2 linked regions of the Saccharomyces cerevisiae S288C genome follow. The protein of the gene in region 1 interacts with the protein of each later gene in a biochemical or structural test. Each region holds a gene or a part of one and is shown on either strand. Other genes may lie near its edges.

Region 1 (3,922 bases):
TCCATACCGACAATTTTCAACAGTATGTGAGTTAACCTGAGTGAAGCTGCTGTTTGTGCCGGCTGTATATTTGCACAAACTTCCTTGGTATTCCGTCGTTATCGTCTCGTGATTGTTTCCTAATCAGACACTATAAGGCAAGTTAATTATCGAAAATACGAATTGATGCTGTCTTCTCAGAGGCCCTCCTTTAAAACCGTCCAATATTCGTGATTGATCTTCGATCGTTAGCCCTTTATTACATAAAAAAAAAACAAATTGGCCAAGAGGTGCTCCGCTCCCCCTTAATTTCCTTCCCGAAGAAAAAAATGCATAAAAAAAGTGGTTCTTTTAGCTATCATCTTTTTAGGTAAGAAGGCCAGAATTGTATATATTAACTCGATATGGAATTGTGTGTACGTATATGTAAATAATAATAATAATATATATATATATATGTGTGTGTGTATGTCTATATATACATATGTTTATTTTTGTGCGTTTTGAGCAATATATGTTGCTTACAACCAAATTGACTGGCCAGCTGGTTTATCTTGAGGCGGCTGTTGTGGATTAGATCTCATTTGTGGAGGTACAGATGCTTGATTAGTATTAAAATTATTGCTGTTTATTTGTGGGGGATACTGAGTAGCCCTGGTTGTAGCCATCGGAACTTGCTGCTGTTGCTCCTGAGAATCTCTTTGTTGCTGCTGTAGTAACGGTTCAGGATAATAATTTGGTCTTTGGCCATTTGGTTGCTGCTGTAGCTGTTGGGGCTGTGGTTGTGGCTGCGAACTTTGGACCTGCTGCTGCGGCTGCTGTTGTCTCAAGTTTTCCATACCTTTATCTAGTGCGTTCAATAATTCCTCTGGTAAAGAAGAGGCTGCATTATTATTCAAGATAGTTTGTTGTTTGATCTCTTCTGGTGAAGGATTATGTTTGTCTTCATTCTTGTAATAGTGGAAATGGGTGGGGAATTTCTTCATGGCTAACAGTTTAATCTTGTTGAAAGTTTCAGACTTGTTGTCTGTGCTGTTACTTGCACTTGCTGCATTGCTATTTGCGTTCAAATCACCTTTTTCGATGAGGAGGTCCCTTTGCTTCTCCACCATCGCCTTTGTGTAACGCAACATTGTCCAATCGAACAAGTGGTCGTTGTGATACTCTAGTTTAATACTCAGATCTTTAAACAGCCTTGCCAAGAACAAATAATCTGGCTTCTCATCGAATTTCAAATTCTTACAGTAAGCCATATATTCTTGAAACTCTAATGGTAAACCTGAACATAGAGTTTCCACGCTAACGTTTAATTTCTTTTCCATGATACGATCATACTTTTGTTTCTTGGTGGTTGCTTTCAAACCCTGCCATGGCAAAGAACCCTTACAAAAATAGATCAAGACATAACCTAGTGATTCTAAGTCATCTCTTCTACTTTGCTCTATTCCAAGATGCGTATTGACACTTGCATAACGAGCTGTACCTGTCAAGGACTTGTTCTCCCTGTAAGGAATATGACGATGTGTGTTGAAATCTCGGTATTTCTTTGATAGACCGAAATCAATAACATGAACGGTGCTACCACGGCGTCCTACCCCCATTAAAAAGTTGTCTGGTTTGATATCTCTATGAATGAACGACCTTCCATGTATATACTGAATACGGCAAAACATTTGCAAAGCCAGCATGATAACCGTCTTAAAGGAGAACCTTCTGTGACAGTAGTTGAATAAATCTTCCAAAGATGGGCCTAGAAGATCGATGACCATAGCATTATATTCACCCTCTCTGCCAAACCATCTGATGAACGGGATTCCCACACCACCGCTTAAGTATCTGTAGACGCGGGACTCATAGTCCAATTGAGGATGTCTGGACCTGATCGATTCCAGCTTGATGGCTACTTCTTCACCACTAATTAAGTTCGTGCCGTGGTAAATGTCACCAAAGGAACCACTCCCAATCTTCCTGCCAATACGAAATTTCCTTCCTACTCTTAAGTCCATCTCTTTTTAATGTATCCTTTCTATAAATATATCTTTTCTTTTTGGTTTTTTTTTTTGGTCGAATATGTCGTAACTTTTCGACTTTTTTTATCCTTGAAGTCTGGAAATATTTTTCTAAGTACCCAACAGAGGTTTAAAGATGCTACTAAGATGTGTTTTCACCACCAAATGCTTTCCTCGAGTGTCGAACCTTTCTTCTCTTTGTATTTCAACCACGTTCCATATATGTGGTCGTGTTTCAACTTTTTTTCTTCGTCTCCTTTTCCTCGTTGCACCAAAAATTCTCCAGAAAAAAAGAAATTCAAACGTGGGCTGCCTATTAGTAGTAAATACACAGACGGGAAGAAGCGTTGAAACAAAGCGAGAGTTGCAGTAACTCTTCACAGTGGTATATGATTGCCACGAAATAATCGTCGATCCAGTGGTAGTTATTCGTATATAGGAGCCTTTTATAGCAATTAGATGGTATCCATTTTGTGGTACTGTTGCGGGTAATCTGCATCACGTGACTATAACCTCTTTTAATTATATCTCTTTATACGCATGCCGTATCGAGGACAATACCGAATTGGTTTAGATCTTTTAGTATACAATTAAGGGAGATATAAAATTGGTGTTGTTGATGTTACTAGTGTTATTGATAAATAAGAAGTGTAAGATAACAACAAGGACACGAGGATGGTTGAAATTGTGGGCCACAGAGCTTTTAAAGCAAGATATCCTGAAAATACGCTACTAGCATTTGAGAAGGCTTATGCAGCAGGTGCTGATGTAATAGAAACGGATTTACAAATGACCAGCGATGGTATGGTGGTGGTAAACCATGACTCAGACACTGGTCGGATGTGGGATAAGAACTTGGTGATTGGCGAGTCGACTTGGGAGGAGGTTAAGCGATTGCGCTGCAAAGAGGATGGTTCCTTAGCAATGATGACATTGAAGGAAATTCTAACATGGGCAGTGTGCCATCCAGGAGCTAAATTGATGTTGGACATCAAATTTACCAACGAGAAAATCATCATGATCAAGACCTTTGTTATCATGTTAGAGGTTAAGAATGATCTTAAATTTTGGCAGGAGAGGATCACGTGGGGGCTTTGGTTGCTGGATTGGTACGATTTCGGTATTGAAACTGGTGTTCTGAAGGATTTCAAAGTTATTGTGATAAGTCTGTCTTTAGATATCGCCTCGCAATTTGTGAAGCGCTCTTTGACACTGAATGATCCTCACTATAAACTTTTTGGTATCAGCGTCCATTTTGTCTCCTCGTGGACAAGCCAATTTAGATTGAGATTACTACCTGTGCTTATGAAGAATGATATCAAGGTCTATTTATGGACTGTCAACAAACCTATAGATTTCAAATATCTGTGCGAATTGCCTATCCATGGTGCTATCACGGATGATCCGATCAAGGCAAGAAAGTTATGCGATGGTCATACCGTGGCGAAGAAGCCTACTGCTGAAAAAAAGTTTGTTGCGCCCAGTCTGGCATCTGTAGATGGGCTAAGATTCCATGCTTTTATCAAAGTTTATAACATCCTTTGCACGCTTCTATATTCCAAATGGGTCCATATTAAGTTGTGCGGTTGGTCTATTGCTTATGTGATTTTTTTGTTCCTTCGAACCATTCATTTTCTTTGATATCCATTCATTGACGTGAATATTATTCTGAACACTTTCTCTTTTACTTCTATATATATTTATGTTCGTATCAAAATCATGATATTATAAAACAAAATTTTCGAACCCTTTCTCTCCGCGAGATTTGAATAGTGATATTTTGGACTAAATCATAAAAAAAGAAAGAAACGATAATGTTAATAGCCATTCATACTAATTGAACACTTGAATTGTTCTGCTCTTTATTTCGAATAAATATATATATATATATATATATACGTGATATTACTCTTAATATATACCAGTATCTTTTA
Region 2 (3,462 bases), on another chromosome or scaffold:
AAGGAATTTGATCTGCCGTTAAATTCTCTTTCTGCAACTGTAATTAAATTGGTGAAGGAGGATATGGGTGGCAAAATGACATGGCTTGAGCTGTTGGATGACAGCGGTGTTGGAGAAAGGCTATGAGGGAAATAGCATTTGGAATTATGTGCCAAGGCTGTATTGTCTGTAGGCGAACTCGTGATAGACTGGCATGCAGAGGAGTTATAAGAAGAGTATGATGTAGTTAATGGGGGAGGTGGAGGAGAATTCAGTGTAGAACTGAGGGTAGAGCGCGAAGACGACGTAGTACTGGACAACAATGGCAGTGATGGATCTATCAAATGGTGAATGGTGCCATTGGGAGAAGCCGTTGGGTTTGGCATTTTTTCTGGAGTATCTATAAAGGGAGGGTTTCTCCGTAAAGACATCGTCTCATGGGACATTACTGAGTCAATGCTTGATGCAAAAGATGATGATACCAGCATAGGGGAAGCCAAAGAAAAGAAGTAACAAATATTCCAAGCGCTCCAGTGTTACAGCTACTGCAAACCAAGAAAAGCAACTGACAAGAATTAGATATCCTAATCATAGGGCACCGAATTTACTTCCATGTTTTTTCCAGCTCCACTTAGAATATATATATAAATGTATAAAGACGGAAATATGCGCTTTTGAGAAATAGACAGAATAAAGAACGCACTGATGCAGCTTTAACTTTTAAGAAATGGTGCTTTTTTTTTCGCCCTCTGTTCCTCTGCGGATGGGAGCTATCAGTAGTAGAAAACAAAAGGAAACGAAGAAAAAAAATTGGAAAAGGGAAGAGTAAAACAGCGAGGAGAGCATTACGTACATAAAATAGGTTTAAGTAACCATACCACTAACAATGCCCCTAGGAAGTGACAATCTAGAGATATCCTTGAGAGTTAGCCACGGGCCGTAAGGGAAGGAAAAGACCAATCTAGCAATAAGCGCATGGGGGGTTTCCGACAGCCACTACCAAATTGTGTGGCAGCCAAGCGAGAATCAATGCGGCTATTTGAGATCTGTTCTTTTTCTATTCAAAGACTCGAATGAGGCCAACGAAAGAAGTAGTAAAAAAAATCCGGGATTCCCAATTCAGGTCATATCCGGCAAGACATTCCCGGATTTTATTTTCCTCAATGTGCTCGTGTAAGTGTCGGCCCGGAACTTGATTCCCCCCGGACTAATTAGAAGTTCCGAGAACGCGCGCAAGCCGTCCCGCGCGTAGAAGGCTAAAAAGCAGCCGGAGGAAAAAAAATAACGCAAATGTGGGCTCCCCTTCCCCTGTGCGGCCACGTCGTGCCTCCCCACCATTTGCCTCATATGCGGCCATTGCGTGTGGTGTTTTTTCTGCTCTTGTCACTGATTTTAACTACCGCGGGGTTTGACTAACAAGCAAATTGCAAAGCCGCGGCGGTTCCCGGAAAAAAAAAAAGGAAGGCCACGCTATTGGTAACCATGAAGTGTAAGGCGACGCAGGAGAGATGAAAAGAATGAAATTAAAAGAAATCCAAAAAAAAAAAAAAAAAAAAAAAAGAAAAAGAAAGAAAAAGGGGGAATAACACAGCCGCGGGTAACATGAAGCGGCGCGAGCGATACTTCCGTGTTAAGTGATATCCATCTTTCTGCGGGTAATAAGTCTAGTCAAGTCCGCTGTATTTTTTCTTTCGCTCTCGCTCTCTTTCTCTCTTCGCTCATGGAGCGGTAAAAAAAAAACATGCATATCGAGTCGAAGCCCAGCAAAATTAAAAAAAATATAGCCTTCAGTGGAAACCCAGTGATGCTCGCACACAACGTAATGGAGCATTGAAGAGCTACAGACGGTAGATAAAAAAGAAAAAGAAGCAATACAATAGGTTATTGCATACTATCATAAGCATACAGATAAAGGAGTTCTGCACATACGGTCCCTCTTTCTCTTCCTATTATTCTTCAGTCCCCTCCTCGCTCTTTTTAGATTCGACATTACAAGGTGAAATACTATTGAAGCTCAAAAACATCCATAATAAAAGGAACAATAACAATGGTATCTAGAGGCCCCGACGAATGGCTTGAAACAATAAAGAAATGCCAGGCGCTAACTGAAAACGAGATGAAACAACTGTGTGAAATGGTGAAAGAACTTTTGATGGAGGAAAGTAACATCCAGCCGGTACAGACCCCCGTTACTGTATGTGGAGACATACACGGCCAATTTCATGACTTGTTAGAGCTATTCCGTACGGCGGGTGGCTTTCCTGACGATATAAACTACATTTTTCTCGGTGATTACGTGGATCGTGGCTACTATAGTCTGGAAACTTTTACGCTTTTAATGTGTCTGAAAGTCAAGTACCCGGCAAAGATAACTTTGGTCAGAGGAAACCATGAGTCCAGACAAATTACTCAAGTTTACGGGTTCTACGAGGAATGCCTGAATAAGTACGGATCTACCACCGTATGGAAGTATTGCTGTCAAGTTTTTGATTTCCTGACGCTGGCCGCTATAATTGACGGTAAGATCTTATGTGTCCATGGAGGGTTATCTCCCGAGATTAGAATGCTCGATCAAATCAGAGTCTTGTCAAGAGCTCAAGAAGTGCCACACGAGGGTGGGTTCTCGGACCTGCTTTGGTCAGACCCTGACAATGTAGAGGCTTGGCAAGTTTCCCCTCGTGGTGCAGGATGGCTCTTTGGCAGTAAAGTTGCTAGAGAGTTTAACCACGTTAATGGACTGAACCTTATTGCCCGGGCTCACCAACTGGTTATGGAGGGGTTCAAGTACCATTTTCCTGAAAAGGACGTTGTAACCGTGTGGTCCGCGCCAAATTACTGTTATAGATGTGGTAATGTCGCGAGTGTAATGAAGGTCGATGAGGATCTGGAACCTACTTTCAAAATTTTCTCGGCTGTTCCCGATGACTACATAAGAGAATCCACGGCAAACCATAATAATCAAAGAGCCGGCTATTTCTTATAACACGACGGCATGCCCTCCCTAACTCGACGAATAAAAATAATTTTCACAATAAAAAAAAGACTACAAAAATCAGAAACTTTTTCATTACGCCATTTGCTACGATACGATACACAACAAGCACATTCTAAGAGCATTCCATTTACTATGGTCAAAATGACCAAATAAAAAATTAAAAAAAAAAAGAAGGAATGAGAACTAGTAACTACATATTCAACAATTGCAGTTTTCTTTTCCTTTTTGTCCTTGTCCTTTCTTTCCTATTTATATATATATATATATATATATATAATACTACTATGTTATATTACATTATATTATTATCACAATAATTATTACGTTCATCGTGCCGAAACGTCACCTCCCACGGTTTGGATCTATTGAAAGAGGGTGGAATCCCTGATAATAAAAAAACTTTAATCAACACTCGGGAGGGGAAATATAAAAGACTGGCGCTACTTAAAGAGCTGATTCGCCAAGGCAGAAAAGCATAACCATATTAA

The links. Proteins that work in one complex are often made in the same cells at the same time.
Region 2: the proteins of HRR25 (region 1) and SIT4 form a complex in vitro, tested with the Saccharomyces cerevisiae proteins (2 studies listed by BioGRID).

What each region holds. Positions count from the first base shown.
Region 1 is NC_001148.4:162,339-166,260, reverse strand, and holds HRR25 (serine/threonine protein kinase HRR25), read right to left. Parts: upstream 1,986-3,922; coding exon 501-1,985; downstream 1-500. Other genes in the region: cAMP-dependent protein kinase catalytic subunit TPK2, read right to left, coding at 1-5; PGC1 (phosphatidylglycerol phospholipase), read left to right, coding at 2,664-3,629; TYW1 (putative tRNA 4-demethylwyosine synthase), read right to left, coding at 3,920-3,922. UniProt on the Saccharomyces cerevisiae protein: Protein kinase which phosphorylates serine and threonine residues. Can use casein as a substrate. Phosphorylates elongator complex member ELP1/IKI3 on 'Ser-1198' and 'Ser-1202' which promotes the tRNA modification function of the complex.
Region 2 is NC_001136.10:367,745-371,206, forward strand, and holds SIT4 (type 2A-related serine/threonine-protein phosphatase SIT4), read left to right. Parts: upstream 1-2,026; coding exon 2,027-2,962; downstream 2,963-3,462. Other genes in the region: STP4 (Stp4p), read right to left, coding at 1-467. UniProt on the Saccharomyces cerevisiae protein: Involved in the dephosphorylation of the large subunit of RNA polymerase II. Is required in late G1 for normal G1 cyclin expression, bud initiation and expression of certain genes that are periodically expressed during late G1.